2 linked regions of the Saccharomyces cerevisiae S288C genome follow. The gene in region 1 interacts genetically with each later gene. Each region holds a gene or a part of one and is shown in the gene's direction. Other genes may lie near its edges.

Region 1 (5,193 bases):
AATATTATTATATTATGTACAGTCACTTATTTCTTTTTTTTTTTTTCTTTCTTTCTTTCGTTCTATTTCCCCCTAGTATATACGAATTCTGCACATCACAGCAAAATATATGGCTATCACATGGCACAGGTATTACTAAAGAAGAAGAGAGACAGAAATAGTATAGGCATGTTTTACTAGCTTCGATTTTCTTGACAAAAAAAAAAGGAAATTTGTTCTATTTACTTTAAACTTTAATGCCCCAATGGATGGCACATATACCAAAAGTTAAACTTTCGTAGCCAGCAGATTTGAATCCTGCCTTCTCAATCATGGATTTGAACGTTTCTTGGTCAGGAAATCTTTCGATAGACTCCACCAAATACTGGTAAGAGTCGTAGTCATTAGCAATCATCGAGCCCATTACAGGTAGGACCTTAGCCCACTGTTGGTAAGCAAAGTCCATTAGGGGATTCTCAATTTTGGAAAATTCTAGACAATAAAAAATACCGCCCGGTTTCAAAACTCTATAAGCAGTGTTTAAACCCTTTTGAATATCGGTGAAATTTCTGATACCGAAGGAGACTGTGTAGATGTCCTTGGAATCAGAATCAATCTCCTCTAGTTTCTCACCATTAGAAACCAAAAATCTCACACGAGGATCCTTGAAATATTTTCCTTGTTCCATGGCTCTCTTCTCACCTTCTTTAAGCATGTCAGGGTTGATATCTACAATATCCATTGTAGACTCAGTGTCACCAAATTTCGACTCAGCATGGTCTAGTAATCCGAAAGCAATATCACCGGATCCCCCAGCCACATCTATGAAGTTCAAAGGAGTCGTAGAGTTTGGCCTTTTTCCCGCATCTAGTTTATTGATAAAATGGTCCTTCCACAATCTATGAATTCCTAATGACATAACATCATTCATCAAGTCATACCGATTGGCCACGGAAGAAAAGACATCACCAACTAACTTCTGCTTGGTAGACTTCAATACAGTCTTCGAACCAAAATGCGTATACTTCTGCTCTGGCTGTTCAGCTGCGGATGATAAAGGACTATTAACTTCTTCTTCTTTGCATGCTCTGTGAGCTTGCGTAAAACACCTAGATAATCTTAGCGGGACATTTACCAGCGAGCTTCGAACGATCCGTGAAGAAATCAACATTATATCTTTCTTGCTGCGATCTGTACTATTCCCTTTGCAATTGTAACAGCAGCTGTATAAGGAGTGAAGGTGGCAGATATCCTTATAGTTTCTTGTGTGATCCTTTTTTTTCCACTTTTTCAGTTTTTGTCAAATGCGGAAGCTAGTTTCCATATTAGGGAAGAGCAGGCAACAGGGCAGAATCCTATACGGAAAGACTTTCATTTAATGATACATTTGCCAAATAACTGTGTTCCAATATCGAGAACAGAACTATCGGATACCTTGATATTTGCTCAATGGTGTCACTTCCCGTTTTTGACATGTACTCTTCCCAATTCAGAAAAATTCTCGCACTTTTCCCACAGAGAAAACCGCAAAACTCAGAAATTTAGGCTGTGTATCGCCGATAGTATCACGGCCGGTTTATGCTTGATTTGGCTGCAAAATGGTCACATTGGACCTAGAAGTGGCCTTTTGTAGCTAATTATAAGTGCATGATTATTGTGACCAGTAACATTTGCTGACGCGTTGTGCGGGTAGCACACGCCGCGTCTTATTTTTGTTTTCATCTCATCTTCGTTAGATCATAATAATATGATTGAAAACTGGAGTAAAACGCTAAAGAACAGTGTCAAGGTTAGTAGTATCGTATACTTTACATTGATCACGTTTGCACTATAGACTGAATTTAAATTAGAATTTTATGGTACTGATGGAAGATATGCAAAACAAAGATGGCCATAATACTGTAGAAAACAGTAGTGGTGGTACGGACAGTAATAATAATATTCAAATGAGGCGAATGAGGAAGACACAGCTGTCCAAGAAGGAGCTTTTTGAGAAGAGGAAATCTGACGTGTTAATTGCTGCCAAGTCTTTAGATACAGAAATTCAGAATGTGAAAAATTTGAAGCGATTGTCGATTGGTTCAATGGATTTGGTAATTGACCCTGAGCTAGAGTTCAAAGTGAACAGTAGAAACTCATATTCTTCAGATTCCTCAAAGGAATCCCTTCAAGAATCGCTCCATGAAGAGAACATTATACGATCAGAACAAAAGGAAGAACAAGGGAGCGAAGACAATGATGCATATGAAGAGGGCGATGCTACTAATGTCGACGACAGTATAGATATCACTCAAACAGAGTATTTGCATGATGAAGAAACATTGGAGAAGGAAAAAATCATCCGTAATGCTTCTTCATCCACTTCATCTTCAGCAAGAGTAACGTCGAGGAACAGAAGGCTCAGTGGAGTAAAGACATTGGCTCACGATGTTGTATTGGATGTGGAGAACGACCACGATTCAAAAATGGTTGATTTAACTCAAAACCTTTTGTGGGTGCCCGCTGACCAACATCCTAACGTTAAGCCCGAAAACTATTTGGAATTGATCCAGGACACTTTACAAAACATTCAAATAAGCACAAATCAAGACATTGATGAAAACAAATTAGAACTGGGTAACAATCATGTAATTTCGAATAGAAAACGCACGGGCTCTGTAGTTAGAAGGCCTTCTCGGTTGAAGACATCTTATACCAAGTTTGATGACGAACCTCCCCTTGCAGACAAACCACAAGAAGGAGAAATACAAGTGGATAAGCGAATATCCTCATCTGACATCAAAACCATAAGATCTGTATCTTTGAAAGAAATTACTGAAGAGCTTACTAAGATTTCCAATAATGCCGGTTTAACGGACTCAGATGCGGTGACTTTAGCCAGAAGCTTGAGCATGTCAGGGTCATTTACCAACGAAAGTCTTCATTTGAACGGCAATCACACTGAAAATGATAACGAATTTGCATCAAATATGTTTAATGAAACTGGACTTACCATACCAGAGAGATCTTCTCTAAGGAGGTCTAAATTCAACACATATAAGATCAGACTAGAGGGTAGTAGCCTTCCACAGGCGGTAAAACTCAATAGCCTAATGAATATACAAACTAATGACAATCGCAGAAGTGCATCATCGCCTGCCTCCTACACACAAGTGCCTCAGGAGCAAGCATCATTGAATGATTTTCACGAGATTTTCGACCATTACAGAAGAACAAGTACTGATTGGAGTACCGAAAATGAGAAATACGTTGATAGCACCAACTACTATTCGGATGAAGAAGATTTGACACATGCATCTATTTCTCAAGAGAGCAGTCTTTTATCTACAGATAGTTCTAACAACAGCGTTTTAATAAAGCCGCATAACACTGGTTCGATGATTTCTGAAAAATTGGATCAGCACGTTAGCTCGAGTGAAAAATCAAATACCAATAACAGCGAAGCAAATCATGGCTGGTCATGGTTGAATTCTAGCAATGGAAGTTTGAACGCTAATGAACAAACTTATCAACAGCTTACAGATGATGAAGACGATGAAGAATGTGTGGACAATGAAAAAGCTGACTTTGTTAACTTGAGTGTATCGAGGAGAGCGAAATCTACCAAACGTGCCTCTGAAAGAATAAACCATTCCAAAAATAGACATTCGCCAATTTTCCAGATACATTCTGAAGAAGCAAAATCCGTGGTAATCACTCCTTCAGTCGTTTCTTCATCTGAATCCCAGCCATCTAAGCCTACTGCACCGGCAGTCGTGGAGAAAAAGGTAGAACTGCCTACTGACACCCAAGCCAGTACACATAAGAAAAATTCCTTGGAGAAAAGGCTTGCCAAATTATTCAAAAGAAAACAACATAATGGTACCTGCAAATCAGATGTGAAAGTAATCAAAAAAAGTGTTAAAAAAGAACTGAAAAAGAAGGCTTCGCATTCGAGTTTATCAAAATTCAGGAAAAGTCCCAAGAAAAAGCCCCAAGAAGCGGAAGTTGAACGCCCTTCATCCCCCACCAAAACAATTACCACCGAAGATATAGATACAGCAAGCGTCATTGAACCAGAAGTGAGAAGTTCAAATGCTTCCACCCTTCTTCCTGACAGCCATACTAGCCACAGTTCTGAATTTGTGGTGGAAACTATAAGCGAGTTAGATGGCGACGATTCATTTGATATTAGTGGTGGTGATGTAAACTACGACGTCGAAGTGCACTCTAGTATCAGTAGAGATACGACAGCTGGACTAGAAGAGGATATAGGAGCAGAGAGAGAAGACAACACTTCACCTACTGCCCCTCAAATCTCAACTTTGCCTCCAAGAAAATTGACATTTGAAGATGTCGTTAAACCAGATTACTCAAACGCTCCAATAAAATTCACAGACAGTGCTTTTGGATTCCCATTACCAATGATAACCAACTCTACAGTGATTATGTTTGACCATCGTCTAGGAATTAATGTTGAAAGGGCTATTTACAGACTCAGCCATCTGAAGCTTAGCGATCCCGGGAGGGAATTAAGACAACAAGTATTGCTAAGTAACTTCATGTACTCCTACTTGAATTTAGTCAATCATACCTTATACATGGAGCAGGTGGGCACTGGAGATATAGCCTTCAATGGTGATTCTGCCTTGGGAATGATGGACAAAAATGATTCTGATGGCACAATCTTAATTCCAGACATTTAACTCATAACTGTTTACAAGATTGATAGATACCTATATAAGGCCACATATTTCAAGTATTGTAAGGATGCCCTTTTAGTGTCAAACTTCTTATTATCACGAAAAACGTCGTCTTTTCATGCAAGGAAGGACTACAGTATATACATATAAATATATATTTATGTAATTATTTTTTTCTTTTTTTTTAAATTTTCTAGCGAGAATGAAGAAAAGCCGACCTCATCTCATCCTATTTGGAACAAATTCGAATGATCTGTCCAATACAGCAAGGCTACCTTGCGGTTGAATTCTATCTCGTACTACACTAAGACGAAAGAGAAAAACGAAATGTCCAAGAGTAATACTTATAGGATGCTCGTCTTACTAGAAGACGACACCAAGATAAATAAAGAAGATGAAAAATTTTTGAAAGGTAAGCCGGGAAAAATGCATGAATTTGTTGACGAGTTGATACTTCCATTTAATGTTGACGAACTGGACGAATTAAATACCTGGTTTGATAAGTTCGATGCCGAAATATGTATACCGAACG
Region 2 (2,830 bases), on another chromosome or scaffold:
AGGACTTACAATGTTGATCTCCTGAGTATTGTTAATGTCCAAAATGACCGAACAACAGCGGATAACGATATATATCCTTCTTGCAATTATAAAGAATCGTAAGATAACTCCGTCAACGATGATGTGGAAATTATGACCCTCTTGGAGGCTTAATCACTAAAAAGGAGATGAAGCCTTCAAGTCACATCAAAATAATCGAAGCCAACACCAAAGAATTTTACAGATTGGTTCTGCTCATGTTAGGGGGTGTATGAGCAGATAATCCAAGTTAAAATAATTTTTTGGAGAATATAGAAGAAAATATATAAGGTTTTGCTTTTTCTAGATTTTATATAGGATAGGGTATTACTAACTTGTAATATAATGTATACCGTGGTATCCATTATATCTCTGGGTCTAGTAGGAAGTCACAAAAGTACTTTAAAGCAGCATAAGTTTCCTTTCCAACTGGCTTGATGTTTTCTGGAGGCAATAAAAATCCATGGTTCCCTGTATCCCGTAATTTCAACTGGAATGCCCAATGTGCTCTGTGGTGGTACATGAAGTCCAACGCAGAACCTGCACCGAGGCCGGGGAATATGTCGGAACCACGGTCCTTACATGCGGAGATTACGTCGTAGTTTCTACCTGATTTTGAACGGATGGCCTTGGATAAGCCATATGATAACTCCAACAAATTTTCTAAGTCTCTGGGCAAGGCATCACACGAGTATGCGTAGGGATATAAAATCTCCTGTGAATACGAATGCATGTCAATGTAGCCATAAATTTTGTAATCGCCCTTGGTTTCATTAATATACTTGTACCAAGCAGATGCTTCCCAAGCTTCGAAGGGCGTTTCCCCACTATACTCTTCGCTGCAAGCGTGGGTGTGTGCCTTTTCCCACTGGAAACCAAAGGAATGATCAATGTCGATACCAAGACATTGAGGAACATGAGTCCTTTGACGATTCTTACGCCATAGTCTGTCATGCGACCACGTATATGCGTATCCGTCTGGATTGAACACAGGTATGACTAAAAAGTCCAAATCGTCCAGGTATTTGGTTTCCTTCTTAGACGAACCATATCGATTTAACAACTGATAAAGTGCCCAACAGACGGTACTGACACTGATCCACTCTCTGGCATGTATACCACCTGTGATAACAATAGTCTTCTTTTCCGGGTTTGATTCTGGCTTGTTTCCGGATATATGCAGAGCTTTTAGCTCTCTGCCTTCAAATGTCCTGCCCAAGTGTTCCACTGCAACCAAACTGGGAAAGCTTCTTTCTAGAAGATCCAACCACATATAAATAGTATCCAGGTCCCTGTATTCGTTAAAGAAGAAATCGTAATCATTTTCAAAAACAGCCTGCTCACGTGCCATCATCTGACTTGTAGGCAATGTATTTTGTATCAATTCATTCATGTTATCTATGATCACCTGCCCATCATTTATCTGCTCACCTATTTCTTTAGGCAACTTAATATCAATGAAATTATTGCTTCTCGTCCATACATCATAATCATCTGTCAGCGGTGCGATCACATCTCTTACCAGGGTAGAATAGTTGTCTGAAGTAAACCTGTAAACAGCGTATTCACTGTAATCCTCTTGGAGACCCTGCACAGCACCTGTCACGGCTAGTAAAACGAAAAGAAAACAACCCCACAACGAATTCATGTGCAACATGATATAACTTAACACTCTGGTTTGTTTATATAGTGTTAACTTGGTCTTTTAAACCGTCGAAAATATTTTATCCTTCCTTCCATTTAGTTGGAACCATTTTCTAGTTCTTCGTAAAATCCGCAGTCAGCGCAGGAGAAAATAGAACGAGACAAATGATCTTTTAAATTACAGGTTATCGCGGGAGAATATTGGGGTTCAGAAATACAACACATATAAACAAAAATACGTACCAAAGAAGTGTTATAAAAGTGATATAACTATGTCAGAGGATCTTTCACCTACAAGCAGCAGGGTGGATTTGAGCAATCCTCATGGGTTTACCAAAGAGGGAGTGGATTTATCGAAGCTGTCACCACAAGAACTAAAATTGTATAAAATGTATGGGAAGCTTCCATCCAAAAAAGATCTGTTAAGACATAAGATGCAGGATCGTCAATATTTTGACAGCGGAGATTATGCATTGAAAAAGGCCGGAGTCATTAAGTCGGATGACGTTATCGTGAATAATTCTAGTAATAATCTACCAGTGACCAATCCTAGCGGTTTAAGAGAGTCTATTATTAGAAGACGTATGAGTAGTAGTAGTGGTGGCGATTCTATCTCGAGACAAGGAAGTATCTCAAGTGGACCTCCACCAAGATCTCCAAATAAATGACTAATGAAGGAATGATATTATGTGGTATTACTTTTTTTTTATCATCACTAGCTTCGGCTAAGCCCTTGCATTTTCAATATTCAATTACCAAATAATATATATATATATATATATATATGTATGTATGGTATACCTTGTGTTACTGATGTGTTTTTTGTTGACGTCATCCTTTTGATTTACTCACATGCTTAGTAAATGAAGGTTGTTGAGGCCTAAAAATCAGCTAAGATTTACACATCGATACTAATCATTGAACGCCCCTATGGGAACACTTAATTGAATAAATATCTGCCCAACTTGCTGAACATCAAAAACCCAAAAAAATAGAAATCTATAAAATACAACGCCAGTGACAACTGCGAGAAACATTGTGAGCAAGTGAACGCACTAAGGGCACCAATTACTAGACCTGGGAAAAAAACGGTTAAAGTGCCATCAAAGAACAACCACAGAACAATGTTTAATAAGCTCCATGCACCAGCTGCCTGCAAAGAGGAGGA

What was found.
Region 2: mutations in ZDS2 (region 1) and IGO2 impair growth when combined (synthetic growth defect), as found in Saccharomyces cerevisiae (2 studies listed by BioGRID, with this or other methods).

The regions. Positions count from the first base shown.
Region 1 is NC_001145.3:49,805-54,997, forward strand, and holds ZDS2 (Zds2p), read left to right. Parts: upstream 1-1,835; coding exon 1,836-4,664; downstream 4,665-5,193. Other genes in the region: COQ5 (2-hexaprenyl-6-methoxy-1,4-benzoquinone methyltransferase), read right to left, coding at 227-1,150; YML108W (uncharacterized protein), read left to right, coding at 4,989-5,193. UniProt on the Saccharomyces cerevisiae protein: Acts as a negative regulator of polarized growth via an alternative mechanism to ZDS1. In heat-stressed cells appears to play a role in localizing BCY1 to the cytoplasm. Seems to interact with, and down-regulate, CDC42. Also acts as a suppressor of PKC1.
Region 2 is NC_001140.6:368,120-370,949, forward strand, and holds IGO2 (phosphatase regulator), read left to right. Parts: upstream 1-1,934; coding exon 1,935-2,330; downstream 2,331-2,830. Other genes in the region: ECM14 (putative metallocarboxypeptidase), read right to left, coding at 383-1,675; NSG1 (Nsg1p), read right to left, coding at 2,603-2,830. UniProt on the Saccharomyces cerevisiae protein: Required for TORC1 to properly control gene expression and chronological life span. Plays an essential role in initiation of the G0 program by preventing the degradation of specific nutrient-regulated mRNAs via the 5'-3' mRNA decay pathway.